2 linked regions of the Mus musculus genome follow. The main gene of each other region encodes a partner of the protein of the gene in region 2 in a complex. Each region holds a gene or a part of one and is shown on either strand. Other genes may lie near its edges.

What was found. The genes of interacting proteins can lie anywhere in the genome.
Region 1: the proteins of Katnb1 (region 2) and Katna1 are in contact, whole or in part, in a crystal structure (PDB 5OW5), measured with the Mus musculus proteins. Residues at the interface, in NP_083081.2 of Mus musculus: Leu485, Val486, Asp487, Glu488, Ala490, Met491, Gln493, Ile494, Arg495, Gly497, His498, Met501, Phe502, Val504, Leu505, Thr506, Arg508, His509, Leu512, Asp513, Val515, Arg516, Trp519, Thr521, Asp542, Leu543, Ile546, Gln549, Lys550, Leu553; in NP_035965.2 of Mus musculus: Leu5, Gln6, Ile8, Val9, Val12, Arg16, Ala19, Leu20, Leu21, Gly22, Tyr24, Tyr31, Tyr41, Leu50, Lys53, Trp54, Gln56, Val57, Glu60, Ile61, Val63, Glu64, Gln67, Val68, Asp70, Ile71, Thr74, Leu75, Ser77, Phe78.

What each region holds. Positions count from the first base shown.
Region 1 is NC_000076.6:7,723,240-7,731,162, reverse strand, and holds the start of Katna1 (katanin p60 ATPase-containing subunit A1), read right to left. Parts: upstream 5,164-7,923; 5' UTR 5,040-5,163; intron 1-5,039. UniProt on the Homo sapiens protein: Catalytic subunit of a complex which severs microtubules in an ATP-dependent manner. Microtubule severing may promote rapid reorganization of cellular microtubule arrays and the release of microtubules from the centrosome following nucleation.
Region 2 is NC_000074.6:95,077,749-95,085,671, reverse strand, and holds the start of Katnb1 (katanin p80 WD40 repeat-containing subunit B1), read right to left. Parts: upstream 4,472-7,923; 5' UTR 4,368-4,471; exon of another isoform or gene 4,171-4,367; intron 3,075-4,170; 5' UTR 2,819-3,074; coding exon 2,779-2,818; intron 1-2,778. Other genes in the region: Drc7 (dynein regulatory complex subunit 7), read right to left, coding at 7,683-7,776, 7,860-7,923.

The DNA of each region.
Region 1 (7,923 bases), on a different chromosome or scaffold from region 2:
TCTGCTCAAAGGAAAACCAGCTATTATGTGGCAAGTTCCTCTGTGAAGTGGCTCACATCACAAAGAAATGAAGGCAGTCCCAGGCCATCAATTAGTGATGAACTAAGTTTCTTACACCAAATGGGCATGAGGGGCTAAGTCCTGTTAACAGTATGCATGAGCTTGGATCCTTCTTTGGTTATGTCTGGAGATGACTGAAGCCTTGGATAACGCCACTACAGCTTTGTGGAAAACAATCAGAGGCAGCCACCAAGCCACACACTCCCGTATTTTAACAATAGGCTATGCAATAACTGCTGCATACAATACAGGTTAGGTTTAAGCAAATGTCACCTCATCAGCATCTGAAGTCCAAAAGGAAAAGGAAAAAGAAGAATCCCAGGAGAAATGAGTGCCAGAAGTTGTGACCACTCATGTTGTACCTCAATAAAAGCTCCAGAAGAGCTTTTATTTGTTGATCACTGTATCCTTAGCACCCAGGACCCTGGTTGGCACACAGATCTCAAAATACCCTCGAGGGCTGCCTTAACTACAAACCCTCTTCCTGGGTCTAGCTTCTGATCCCCAAAACTCTCACATCCCACCAAGCTGGGACTACCAAGTTTTATTCTTTTGTTGAGATTTTATTTTATGTACTAGGGTGTTCTGCCTGAATATCTGAACACCTAGTGCATGCCGTGCCCACAGAGGTCAGCGAGTGGCATCACATTCCAACACTGAAATCGCAGATGCTTGTAGCAGCTACATGGGAGCTGGAAACCAAACCTGGGTCCTCTGGAAGACTGAGGCATCTCTCCAGACCCATTTGATTATTGTGTGATTACTTCTGCCTTGAAACTCTCTTTGCCCTATAGCAATGCCTAGTCTGGGCAGCAGCACTGAAAGAGAGGAACCTGCCCAGGTCTGGTCAGCTCTGAAAGTGTACAGTAGATCTGTATGGCCCAGGCAGCAGGTCTCTCTGACTTTTTTTTTGATGGTCATGGTCAGGGCTCAAAGCCCAAAGAAGTTATTCCTAGCCTTCTTCAATGGTATACTGTTTTGAATTTCTCTTTCTAGTCAGATAAAATTCCTTTCGAGCCAAATCTGTTTCATTTCTTCAGCGAGGGAAGTGGAAGGACTTCATTAGCTCTGGTTGGCCTAGAACCACAGTGGCTCTCTTGCTTAGCCTCCCAGATGGCAGGATTACAGATGTGAGCTTTCATGCCTAGCTTGATATTTTCCTAACGAACAAATAATGCAACATCAGTCCAAGGCTACATTAACAGATGGCATGCACAGTCCTTGGCTATCAAAAAAACAAATCAAGCCGGGTGTGGTGGCGCATGTCTTTAGTCCCAGCACTAGGGAGGCAGAGGCAGGCAGATTTCTGAGTTCAAGGCCAGCCTGGTCTACAGAGTGAGTTCCAGGACAGCCAGGGCTACACAGAGAAACCCTGTCTCAAAAAACAAAAACAAAACAAAAACAAAAAAACCAAATCAGAACAAAACGAAACCCAAAGTGTTTATGGATATACTGACAAAGCACTCTTATTTCACTAAAAGTTAGATTAAAAATCATCATTTTTCTATTACTCCAACATTATCTAAGCCAGAATATTAACATCTGTATTTTTGACATTCTTCAGTTTCCATTATCATTGCTCAAATTCCACTGCAGAAGAACAGAAACTGGGTTTACCTAGCATAGTACCTGGCAGAATTTGAGGAAGGGTCTATAAAGGGGGAAAAGCTAATAGACAAGATTTTAACTACTATTAGTTATAAACGGTACCCACTGGCTCAAGGTTAATGTAAACACCCCCCCCAAAAAACCCAGTTGCCTCAAGATTGAGAATCTTAGCTCTTAGAAAGACAATCTGCTGCTTCATCTTACTCAAGCCTTCCTTTACACTACCCAACACTCTGTTTACAAGACAAGTATAATTGTGGCCAACAAGCCACAGCAGGAAATTTTTTAATTTAAGCAGAAATTTAATTACATGCAAAAAAGTCACAGCTGTATCAAGCAATCTTAATATCTGCACAAGTTCCTCTACAAAGAGATGAAATACCCCCACCCACACACCCACACACCCACACCCACACGCCCATGTACAACTGGAAAAACCAGTAACTAAAGAGCTCCAGAAGAGGCAGCAAATCCAAGTACTGAGCACTAAGATCTAACCACCAGCCTCACATGAGGCCCTCCCTGGTCCTGGTCCACATATACATAGGTCGACATAGCCTGTCCACATCTGAACAGGACATCATAGCTGTCTAATTTCTAAAGGTATGTAAGGCTGGACTCCACTGAGAACTGCTATTTTTACTCTAACCATGCACAGGTTAATCATTCAAGAACCATTTACAGAGCACCATGGTTTTGTTTGTTTTTCTTTTTGTTTTGTTTTTGTTTTTTGAGACAGGGTTTCTCTGTATAGCTCTGGCTGTCCTGGAACTCAACTTTGTAGTCCAGGCTTGCCTCGGACTCCGAAATCCGCCTACCTCTGCCTCCCAAGTGCTGGGATTAAAGGCTCGCACCACTACGCCCGGTTGAGCACCACATTTTAAAAGAATTGCTTTGAAGATAAAAAGACAAAAGGAGATGAGCAGCTGAGGTAGTGAAGGCAGAGGTCATCACCGGCTGCAGAGCCAGCCTGGACTATATGACAGTCTGTTTCAAATATATACACAAGGAGGAAATACTAGCAATAGACTTTCTTTCTAAGAAAAAACAAAAAGTGTGTGGCAAACCAGGCATGATGGCGCACTCCTTTAATCCCAGCACTTGGGAGGCAGAGGCAGGCGGATTTCTGAGTTCGAGGCCAGCCTGGTCTACAAAGTGAGTTCCAGGACAGCCAGGGCTATAAAGAGAAACCCTGTCTTGAAAAAAAAAAAAAAAAAAGTGTGTGGCACAGTGCATGTGCAGGTCAGAGGACAAGTAACCGTGTGGAGTAGACCCTCCTGGTTTCAGGAGTTGAACGCAGGCTGGCAAAGCACCCTCAAATGTACTAGAGACACACAAGTAATTTCAGGAAATTTACCTCTAGAATATGAGGAATTAGTTATTGGCAGTCAATGGCTGACAAGAACAGTCACAGTCCTATGAGCCACAGACGCTGGCCGGCTGGCCACCCATGTACACACAGACAACACTAACTGGTCTCAAAGGCTTATTAATAACAATGGGAATTTATTAATAAAACAACATAGGATCTGAAGTTGGGGAGATGGAAACACTTGGGGTGGTGTTGGAGGTAGTGTTGAAGGGATACAATCAACATACATGGTGTAAATACATGAAATTTTCAAAGAGTAAAAAAATATTTAAAAGAAAATAGTAGTGACTGTGTAGCAATTATGGAATTATGATAAAGACAAAAAGAAATTAGACTTTGAAATTCCTTTTTAGGTTTTGTGGAAAGAATATGGTAGGGTTATTTTTGTTTTACTTCCCAGTCACTCCAGCATCGGATCCTCTTGCCTCTGCTCTATACTGCCTTGTACACTTGTACCGTCAAGGAAAACGAGCATCAGCCGGGCAGTGGTGGCACATGCCTGTAATCCCAGCATTTGGGAGTCAGAGGCAGGCAGATTTCTGAGTTCGAGGCCAGTCCTGGTCTCCAGGACAGCCAGGGCTACACAGAGAAACCCTGTCTCGAAAAACAAAAAAACAAACCAACAAACAAAAAAAGAAAGAAAGAAAGAAAGAAAAGAAAAGAAAAGAAAAGAAAAGAAAAGAAAAGAAAAGAAAAGAGAAAAGAAAGGCAGGCAGGCATCACTGTTCTCTTGGGAGCTAATTACATAAAAAGTACTAATGATTACTAAATAAAAGCTTGAACTGGGGGAAGTGTAGCCGCCTGTAATCCCAGTACCAGGCAGAAGCAAGAGTTTCAGAAGTTCAGGCCAGTTTAGGCTACAAAGGACACTGTCTATAAATAAATAAACAAATAAGGGCTGGCAACAGTTACAAGCCTAGCCTACACGCAGTACAAGGCAGAGGCAAAAGGATCCGGAGTTAAGGACCAGCTCTGGCTACAAGAGACACTGAAGAAAGAGGAGAGGGAGAGGAGAGAGAAGAAGAGAAAGAGAAAGAGAAAGAGAAAGAGAAAGAGAAAGAGAAAGAGAGAGAGAGAGAGAGAGAGAGAGAGAGAGAGAGAGAGAGAGAGAGAAAGAGAAAGAGAAGAAAGAGAAAGAGAAAGAGAGGAAAGGAAAGAAAAGAAAGAGGAGAGGAGGGGGAGGGGAGGGGGAGGGAGAGAGGAGAGGGAGAGGAGAGGGAGAAGAGAGGGAGAAGAGAGGGAGAAGAAAAGAGAAGAGAAAAAAGAGAAAGAAGAAAGGAAAGGAAAGAAAGAAAGACAAGTTTTCGTTTGTATGCCACTGAACCCACATACTGAATGAAACAAATGCTTCCTGGGATAAATTTTCTCCACAGCGCCAAATCAAAAAAGCCAAAAGCTTTCATGAGAACACTAGGCTCTCAGATTAAGAAACTAACCCCAAGAGTGGCGTGGTTGCACACACCTTTAATCCCAGCGCCAGGAGGTAAAGGAAGGCTAGTCGGGTCTACAGAGCGAGATCCAGAACAGCCAGGGAGAGAGAGAAAGAACGTCAATATTATCACCTTTAAAAGCAACAAAAACAAAACAACAAACGCCGGTGAGGGGGCTCAGCAGGTAGAGGCATTTGCCCAGCATGCCGGGCTACCCGAGTTCAACTCTGGGACCCTCGTAAAGGCGGATGGAGGGAAGCGACCCCAGAGAGTTGTCCTCTGACCTCCACTCACGCGCCCACATCTACACCATACTCAACAATAGCAATAAATCTAAAACTAAAAACAAAGGCCAACACAAAGGAGAAACAACAGAAAGAAGTAAGCCACCAGAAAGCAGTACAACTCCAACCTAACAAACTGTACGAAAAGAAGCTGAACCCCAACCTCCAGGCTCTGGGGATTTTACAAGGCGGAAGTTTCGGGATGGGGGCGTGAAAGCTTCGAACGCGTTCCCTGGTCGGGTGTCGCGGGGGCGGAACAGGGAGCCTGGAGGCCCGAGCACTCACCTAGCGCAGCCCAGGCTACCCGCCGCAGCTCCGGGTCGGGACCAAGTTGAAATGAAACCGGGAAAGCCCCTCTTAAAAGGATAGTTCCCGCACCGGCGGGGACACGCCCCGGAAGTGCGTGCTCTACGGGCGTGCGCGCGCAGGCGGAACCTGCGGAGGGGCGTGGCCGAGCTCGGGGTGCTTCTGCGCACTGTGCGCCGCGGCTAGGAAATGGGAGTAGGCGTGGGGAAGGAAAGTAGGCGGGGCGAAGGACTTGGCAATACCCCGCCTACTTCAGTACTTACTCTGTGGACCATTATCTCTTCCCAGGGCTTCTTCACTCTGCCTTAGCAGGAGATTTACACTAAGCTGCTCTGAGGTTAGGAGGTCAGGGGCTCTCTTACAGGTGAGTGTCAGTGCTCAAGCAATTCGTTTATGACAAATCTTGCTTTAGAGCCCGGTACTTAGGATTATGAAGCCTGGGACCCATGTGTCAGGGTAACGCGAATACTCTCAAGACATGCTAAGGGGTGAGATTTTATTTCCAATTCCAGGTGATCCATCACCCTCTTCCTATATCACAAAACACAGGGCACAAACTGGTACACATACATGCATGCAGGCAAGCCACTGCATATATGAAATAATGTTTTACAGGGTTTAAAGTCTTCTAAATTTTTCACCAAAAATAGAAAATATATTTTCTGCTCTAGTAGATGTGAACGTTAGTGTCACAGAGCACAGAAAACTATAATCAGCACATCAGCAAGAATAAAAAAGACCACTTAGAGAGATATAGATCAATTACTCCAAGAGATGGATTTATAATCTATACAAATGCAAAGGCCTGTTAATTTATAAAACCGGATTATAATTTAAAAGCTTCTCAAAGGTGCAAAATGAATGTATATGGTATACTTAAATATATAGGAAATCCTAGAACCTACAGGATGAATCTGTAGTAACTAATCAGAAGTATCCGGGTGGGAGTTAGTTAGGAGTTGGGAATGATGTTCTGTAGTGGAGATGTCTTCCCAGGTGTACAGTTTTACACATGAAATGAAAGTTGTAATTTGAGTTTATGTAAATTATACCTCAGTGATGTTTTGTTGTTGTTTTTTCCTTGGATATTTTCTTTTCTTTTAAGAATTATTTATTATATGTATATGAGTACACTGTAACTGTCTTCTGACACACCAGAAGAGAGCATCAGATCCCATTACAGGTGGTTGTGAGCCACCATGTGGTTGCTGGGAATTGAACTCAAGGTCTCTGGAAGAGCAGTCGGTGCTCTTAACCGCTGAGCCATCCAGATATTTTCTTTACTTACAATTCAAATGTTATCCCCTTTCCCACCCTGGCCCCCAGGAAACCCCCTATCCCATCCTCCCTCCCCCTGCTTCTATGAGGATGTTCCTCCACCCATCCACCTACTCCCACATACCTGTTTGTTGCTGTTTCAAGACAAAGTCTCACTCTATAACCTCTCCTAGCCTGGAACTTATCACATACCCCAGGTTGACCTCAGACTCATAGTTTCTCTGCTCTTAAGAGTCCCCATTACAGCCATGGGCTTCTGTGCCTGGCGTCAGTGAAAATGTTTGAAATAGAAAGACAAACCCCCAAAAGGTGACTTACAGTGTGTGGTGGTTTGAATATGTTTGGCCCAGGAAAGTGGTACTGTTAGGAGACATAGCCTTATTGGAGTAGGTGTGGCCTTGTTGGAGGAAATGTGCCACTGTGGGGATGGGCTTTGAGACACTCCTCCTAGCTACCTGGAAGACAGTAGTCTTCTCCTGTTTGCCTTTGAAACAAGGTTTACAACTCTCAGATCCTCCAGCCATGCCTGCCTGGAAACTTCCATGATGAGAATGGACTGAACCCGTGAACCTGTAAGCATGCTCCAATTAAATGTTCACCTTTATAAGAGCTGCCGTGGTCATGGTGTCTCTTCACAGCAATGAAACCCTAAGACACAGTGACTACTTCTATTTACTTACTTGTACAATTAAACAACAAACAGTTATAGTTACCCTTAAACCACAGAGATTTCAAACTTCTCTTTTTTTAGAAGATAGAATCACAATAAATAACCCATGGTCACCTCAAACTCAAGGGGGAATCCTCCTGCCTCCGTTTCCTAAGTGCGGTCACACAATTTTCTGCTGACCTACTTTGCCTTTTTACTTTTGCAGTGCTGAGTCCAGTTCTATATAGAGCTGCATCCCAGCTCTTCCTAGCTCCATCCAGCTCACCAGCTCACAGCTGGATGCATGCAATCACTAGAACCCATAAAAGTAAAAATAAAGGGTCCTGTATAGTTTTTTGTCAACTTGACACAAGCTAGAGTCATCTGAAAGGAGGGAGCCTCAGTTGAGAAAGATCATAAGATCCAACTGTAGGAGATTTTCTTAATTAGTAATTAATATGGGAAGACTCAGGCCATTGTTGGTAGGGCCATCCCTGGGCTTGCGGTCCTAGGTTCTATGAAAAAGCAGACTGAGCAAGCCATGAGGAGCAAGCCAGTAAGCATCAGCTTACTCCATGGCCTCTGCATCAGCTCCTGCCTCCAGGTTCCTGCCCTGTTTGAGTTCCTGTCCTGGCTTCCTCCAGTGATAGACTATAAAGTGGAAGTATAAGCCCAACCCTTTCCTCCCCAACTTGCTTTTGGTTGTGGTGTTTTATCACAGTAACAGTAGCCCAGACTAGGACTGGGGCTAGGGATATGGTGATACACACCTTTGATCCCAGCACTCTCAGGAGGCAGAGACAGGAGGATCCCTATGAGTTTGAGCCATCCTGGTCTATATAACAAGATCTAGGACAGCCAAAGTTACATAGAGATACCCCGTCTCAAAGGAGGAGAAAGAGAAGGGAAAGGAATAAGGAAGAAGAGGAGAAGAGG
Region 2 (7,923 bases):
GGTCCTCCCCTCCTCCCAGGTCCTGTGCTACCCAGCCTGGAGTAGCTCTTGTATGAACTGCAGACCATAAGGAGCCTGGAAAACAGGGCCAGGAAAGCCGGACAGTTCATTTCTGAAATGACACCTCCCTGCAGGGCCTGGCAGGGCACTGCTGGCACGAGCATCAACTGGCCCAACCAGGGTGAGAGCCCCATTGTAAGCCCAGACGCTTTCAATCTAGGTACTGGAGGGCCTGCCACCTGAACCCAATGGAGGAGGGTCTTGCTCTAATTCTCAGCTCAACTAGAGTCTTGTCCTCTGCACACTTGGGGACAGCTGCCCACAAGCTTGGACCACAGACCCTTCTATATGTGGCCAGCCCAGCAGGAGGGGAATGCAGCTGCTCCTGAGTAGCTCAGCCCCTGTCTCTGCAGCCACACCCTGAATTTGTCTGAGAGTCCCCGGGCATCTGCCGTGGCTCTCCCCAGGCAGAGAGTGAGAGATCTGGTTGAGTCCCCATCTCAACAGGCCTCAGGGCCACCTCTAGAGACAGCTGTGGCGGTCTAACAGAAGAGGCTTCTAGACATCTGCTCTAGGCCGGCACAGGAGGCTGTGGAAGGAGAGCTTCCTGCCCTTAGGCTCCAGGGGCATCAGATGGATCCAGGGCAAGGCCTGGAACAGGCAGAGTCACAGGCAGGGAGTGGGGGGTTGAATGGGAGAACACCGAGCAGCAATGGCCCACGTGTGGGTGCTGGATTTTTATGCAAACAAATCAAATTCCTCAATGTCTCCTACAGACCAGATGACGGCTGCGGCTCTTCCTCCAGCAAAAGCTAACAGCACCTCCCCAGACACCAGCAGTTCAGCCGAACTGGCATACCTCAGCCGAAACTGAGGATCACTCTCTGTCTGCCCACAAGTGCTAAGGACTTACATCCTAGGAGGAAGATACAGGGGACAGCGGTGCAGCAACCCTACACTGGTTAAAGAGTCTTCTGAGCCTCATCACACCCTGAAGCCCCGAGAAGCCCCAGCCTGTGTGGCCTCAGGCTATATACCCCAAAACCTTTGTGCACCAGAAACTCTCAGATCCTCAACATACCTGATCATACTACTGCCTGCTGCTCAAACACTTTGATGCTTAGATCTTTAGTAACAAGGGTCTTGTGGACATGTGCCCCTGCACAACTCACTAGGTTTCCATGGTAACCCTTTCTCACCTGCTGATGTGTGAAAGCTCTGTGATTTCCTGTAAGTCTTTCCAACATATAAAGCTTCCTGTTTCGGGCCTTTGCACTCGCTGCTCATGCACCCTCTACCCTCATCAGTAATTAACTGACCACACACACACACACACACACACACACACACACACACGCAAGCACATGCAAGCACGCACACTCAGAATTAGAGCAGGACTGGAAACAGACAGCTGTGGCTCTCTCCGGGCTGAGCTCCCACTATGCAGTGACCTTGGATACTTTGGCCCTCACTTGCTCCCTCGCATCAGCTTCTACCTTCAGGTAGGGTAAGCCATTAAAGATGCATAATGCCAATTGACATAAAGCTACTCTGCCAAAAGTTGCCATGAACAGGGTCCTCCCAGAACCTTACAGCTTTGGGGGACAACTTAAAAATGATCTCAATCTCTCAATGAGGAGACTGAGTCACCAAAACAGCTTTGCCCAAAGTCTCCTCATCTGCTCCTGAAAACAGCCCGGGGACAGCACACCAAACCTACGACAACCAGCTACGGCTGGAGAGAAAGCCACAGAGGTGAGATGAAGGTCCTCCAGGCCTGATCTAGGGATCCTCCAGAGCCTTTTAGAGGATCCGAAAGAACGGAGCTACTGTCTGAAATGCTAGGATGGTATTGCCTTGGGTGCTCTCACTCGCTCCAGAGGAGCCGTTGAGAAGACACACGTGTGATGACATCGTCACTCCTGTCAGGTTTGAGTGCACATCTGTCTCAGTACTGTTTTCTAACAGAATATATGGGTAAGTGTGACTTTCATAAATGAAAGCCTTTTGGAGTCGTCAATAATGTTTAGGAATGTGAAAGAGCCAGGTGCCAGGCAGTGGTGATGCACACCTTTAATCCCAGCACTCGGGAGGCAGAGGCAGGCAGATTTCTGAGTTCGAGGCCAGCCTGGTCCACAGAGTGAGTTCCAGGACAGCCAGGGCTACACAGAGAAACCCTGTCTCGAAAAAAAAAGAAAAGAAAAAGAAAAACAAACAAACAAATAAACAAAAAAACAAAATGAAAGAGCCAGGCATTGTGGCACAGTCCTTTAATCCCAGCACACAGGAGGCAGAAGAACATGTCCCAAGCCAGCAAAGGCTACAGGGATGCCCTATCTCAACAAAGGAAAAGAATCTAAGAGAGTTTAGGCTAAAGAATTCTGAACTATTTTTGCTTGATTTCACTTCAGAGCCCTGCCAGCATCTTTGGGCAACCTCCCCTCCATCCACATCCCAAGATCCTTGCATCTGATGGAGGAAAAGGGACCTGGGACATGTCTGGGGTTCTTGGACCGCCTTTCAGCCTTCCTCGCAACACTCCGCTCTTCAGCTTGACCAGACAGATCTCACCTGAATCTCAGAGCAAGTACCAAGCACAGCTGTGCTTATCTTGCTGTATGGAAGGGTTGCTTAATCACCTGCCCAATGTGATTGACATCTTTGTCTACCTGAAAACAAGGACTGTGAGTCTCTCTTGTGCCAGGGAGAGGAGACAGAGCTGAAGGCTAAGACTACTCAGCTTACAAAACAACAGGGTGATAAATGAAAAGTACTCACGCAACTTCCAGGCTGTCTTGGTGACCACAGGGGTGGCCATGCTTCAGGGGGTGGCGCCTGAGACCCCACCCACAAAACAGATTGTGCTTTCTCTGTGGGGTGGGGGTGGATCCCCCCCAGATCCGACAATCAAGTTGGCAGGGAGTTCCCACACATCCAGGCAGAGAGTCCGCCTCTCCTGGCCCAGGACTGCCTGGTGGTTTAGATCATCCGCTATCAAGCAGCAGCCTGGACACATAGGTCGGGATCCCAGATCATGGAATGTCAGGCTTGGACCATCTCAGCTCAACACTGGGCTAGAATGCAAGCAGAGGCGATGGTGGGTTAGGAACTGCTTGAGACGAGTTACAAGTCCCTGGGTCATCAAGGCCACTTGATACAGACTAGCCAGAGCCTCCAGGGCCTGGAGCTGCAGTGCACACTGGGTCTGAAAACCTGTGACTTAAGAGCCCAAAGATAAAAGACCTTCCCTAGGTAGCTGGGCCTGGTGGCTCACGCCTTTAACCCCAGCACTCAGGAGGCCAGCTAGAAGTAGGCAGATCTCTGTCAGTTCCTATCTCAAAGAAAAGAAGGAAGGAAGGAAGGAAGGACAGACTGACATAGGTAGGTGGAGAGGGGATGGAGAGACTGACTTCTCAGGGGCCTACAGTAATGCTCCTGGATGCTGGGTGTCCTAACTTGCCAACCCAGCACCTGCTATGGGGCAGAGAGGATCACATAACTGCAGTCCACTTGGATTTGCACCCCATGTATTGGATGGGGCACTGGAGTCTGAGGTTATGTTTTGGTGCCCATGAGAGGCATCCAAAAGGCAGAGAGACAGAGAGATACACGGAGACGAACAGAGAGACTGAGAGATAGGCAGACGTTCAGAGAGAGAGAGAGAGAGAGAGAGAGAGAGAGAGAGAGAGAGAGAGAACAGTAAAGGCCTTGGGAGGGGGTGATGTTGAGAGGATTCTGAGGGTCCAATCTTCTTGCTTCCTCCATCACCAACTCCCTGGTAAGGGAACCACGCCCACTCCCTGCAACTCTCAAGGGCATAGCTAGGAATTGAGTCTCCAGTCTAGGTGTGAGTCGGAATGACTCCTCAATTCTAAAAGGCCACAGCGTGGATGGAGCCTTCCACCGCCGCCACGGCCCTTCGCCTCTTGCCCAGGAGCTCTCTCGCTGGATTCTCTTTCTCCTGTTGCCTATGCTCCCGTTCTGGCACATCTTGAGCTTCCTTAGTTGGCCATGCTTCGCCAGACCCTCTTTACTTCTCTTGCCCCGCTGCTATCAGAATCCCCCATTCATTCGCTCTCCTGTTTCTGGAGCCCCGACTCAATACGATCCTCCGCACACCCTCAGCTCTGCTTCCGGCCCACCAGCTTTCCCTCTCCGGCCTCCACACACCCGTCCTGCTCGTTCATCCCAAACCTGCCACCGGTCCCTCAGCTTCGCTTGACCCTCCTCCCGTCTGCCTTGAGGGGCACTGGCTCCAGCCTGTCCTGGCCGAGAGCCTCCTGCCGGCGACCGGACTGTCCCCTCCAGGCTCGGCGAAGACTAGAGCCATTTTCCCTTTGCCTCCAAGACCCCGAGAGCCACTCTACCTGCAGCTGTAGCTCTGGAGGCCAAGGCTTCCCTCCAGGCGCGACCCCCACTTGCCTCCATCCTTTGCCCTGATTGGTCGCTGCTTGACAACCGACCCTCACAACAAAACCTCCGGCCTAGAGTCCCTCCCACTTCACTTCTTACACCAATCAGTCGCCACGGACGCCCCGCCTTCCTCTAGAATTGACCAATGGAAGCAAGCGCTTCCGCCGATTTACGTAACTACCCGCCTCCTTTCCCCGACTCAGACTAATCACGAGAAAGAAGCGCTTACGGACCGCCCTTAGGTCCCAGAAGAACCAATACAGGCTTCTGCGTTCTTAGTCCCGCCCCCAGTCAGGCTTGGTTTTTTCCGCCCTTTTCCTGCATTTCCTGGAACCCGGTTGTGTTTAAAAAATCCGCGAGCTGCACCCGATGGCGGCTGCGCCAATCACTTCAGCAACAGCTCTGGATTGACCAATAAACGTTAGTGTTATTGGAGAACCAGCTCTGAGATAGCCAATGGAAAGGGGACTTCTAGAGTGGTATGAAGTTGCAGATCTTCCATATTGAAACAGGGCTGCCAGGACCCCGCCCTCAGACTGTGAGTGTCGCCCGCGTAGTGGGAGGACTTGGCTCTTACTTGGATCCACACGTCTCCTGGAGTTCGCTGACCTCGAGGGAAACAGAGCTTAGTTACAGTGGGGTCGATGTCGAGCCCAGGAGTTCGTCCCTAAGATCACAGTAGCACAGTGGGATGAGTTAGGCTTGTGTCTGCTCGCCTGCGTGCGGAAGTAAAACTACGGAACCGGAGAAAGGCTAATATCTGTGACAGGACAGACAGGTTGGGATGGGGACAGGCTACATAACCCACCATGAGTTCGGGTCCCCCCCTTACTGAGAAACTCGGTCCCAGCCCTTTGCAGAAATAACCTCCAACTCTGGTCTATCCTACACTCACTCCCCTCTGGTCGGGGCTGCTGCATCTGGCGTTCTCCTCTACACAGTCCGGAACGGGAGGAATTTCCCATTTCTAGACGAGGAAACAGATGCTGTGGTGAAAAAGACCAGACATTTGGAAGATCGGACCCAGGACTTAAACTTTTGTTCTTAAAGGCAAGGCACACAAAGTCCCTATTAAATGCAAAACCTTTACGGGAACAAAAGTCACCCACCAGCCTAATGGGAAGTCGGCCCTGCGTAGAAATGGGTAATTATTAAGAGACCTGGATTTGGAGAATAACATTTGATCAAAACTTTGTACTTTGCTGTTCCCGCAACTTTTTATTTAAAAAAAAAAGTCAAATTCTTCATTTTGACACATTTTGCCTTATCTGCTTTGTTTATACAATTATATGTACATTACAGATCCTAAGACATTTCAGTCATGGCAACACTGAGCCTGAAGATCGTTAAGGGCCCTTAGTCACATAACCAATGTCACCACCCCTGAAATAACTTCATTCTCTAACATGCAGACTATATTAAAATGACTGTCACCATCCCCAATACACATAACTTATAAGCAGGAACAAGACTGGGGATGTAGCTCAGTGATAAGAGAGTCTTGACTGGTATGTAGGAGGCACTAGGTTCAATCCCCAGCACTGGAAATACAAACTACCTAGGACCAAGAGAAATGGCAAGGCTCAGTGGCTAAGAGTGATTGCAGTGCAAGAATGAAGACCTGAGTTCAAATCCTCACGACCCATGTAAAAATCTGGGCATGGTGCATGTGTGCTTATAAGGAGCAGTGTTATAGGGAGCAGAAACAAGAGGATTACTAAGATTGTTGGTTGTCATCCTAACTACGGGTTCAGTGAGAGACCCTGACTCGAGGGAATAAGGTGAAGAATGTCAGAGGACAATGCATAGTGATACAATGGGACATGTGTACACACACACCACACATGTGGGGGGCGGGGCACAGTATCTTTATAGGAACCAGACAAGATTCTGCACTCTTGGCATACTTGACTCTTCTAAGATCATCCTATTTCTGTCTCTTGGATCTCCCACTACCCTTCCTCTCTCTCTTCTCTCCTCCCTCTGTATCAGGGTCTCACTTTGTAGATCAGGCTGGCCTTGGACTGACAGAGATGAAGAGCTGGCATTAAAGGCATGGGCTACCACATGAGCATGCACCCCTGGCTTTAACCATGGGTTTGGAACTATGCATTAAAGCTTACTGGGCTCATCTTTGAGTGAAAACAATGACTGCCCCGCAACCGGAATTCAGCAGCAGCCAGTAATTCAACAAGAAGAGAGCCCCAGGAGTCCCTCCCTGATACATGATTGCCTAACCACTGGCCCAGGTAGTACAGGCAACCACAGCCGCTGTGAGACCTGTCTTGAGTGTGTCATGCCCTGGAGAAGATTACAGGCAAGGTCTTCTTTTCTTCTTCTTCTTCTCCTTCTTCTTCTTCTTTCCTTCTTTTCTTCTTCTTTTCTTTTCTTTTCTTTTCTTTTCTCTTCTTCTTCTTCTTCTTCTTCTTCTTCTTCTTCTTCTTCTTCTTCTTCTTCTTCTTCTTCTTCTCTCCTCCTCCTTCCCCTCCTCTTCCTCTTCCTCCTCCTCCTTCTTGTTTTAATTATTTATGTGTATATGAATACACTGTTGCTGTCTTCAGACACACCCGAAGAGGGCATCTTATTACAGATGGTTGTGAGCCACCATGTGGTTGCTGGGAATTGAACTCAGGACCTCTGGATGAGCAGTCAGTGCCATCTCTCCAGTCCCTTTTATTTTTTGTTTATTTTTTTTTTTAAACAGAGCTTCATGTGACCCATGTAGTTGAAACAGATTCCTTATGTAGATGAGACAGATCTTAAACTCTGATCCTCCTGCTTAGATTACAGGCATGGGCTACTATACCCAGTTTTCTCTGCTTTTTAAGTCTTACTTCAGGAAACATGGATAGCCCCATTTCACAGGTGGTAAATGAAAGAGGAACTTGGATTCTGTCTCTTGTCCTCTAATATCAAGCCGCCTGGTCCTGGGGTGTGTTCCTTAGCTAAGCCGCTCTCACTTTAGGAGCTGCTCCACCATCAACACATTGAGCTCTCAGCAGATCTTGGCAGGTGACCATGGAACCATCTGGAGAGCCAACACTTGATAATCCAGAAGAGAAGATGACAGAAAAAGATTTAGGGTGGTGTAGATTGGAGCTTGTAAACACTGAAGTATAAATGGCAAACAGGAAATGCATTTATTTGAGGGAGGCTATGAGGGATAGGGAGGTAGTGTGGCAGCGAGGCTAGTATAGGATCATAGTGGTTGGGGAGAAGGGAGAGACTCCATTCTCTGGCAGGGTCTGCCGTAGTTCCAGGAGGGGCCATCAAACAAAGACTTTTACGAAGTCTATTAAGCGTGGGTCTTTGTAGAGCTTTTCCTCCAGCGCCAGGTACTTCAGTGGAGCCAGCTCTTTGTGCCTGAGCAGAGGGAGGGAGGAGAAGGTGAGGGATATCCAAGCTATCAGAGTGCTCCCAGGAGTCCTCCCGGCTCTGCCCCTTACCGATTGAGCCGCTGTTCCAAGATTCGGATGCGGAACATGGCCTGAGAACAGTAGCTCAGGTACA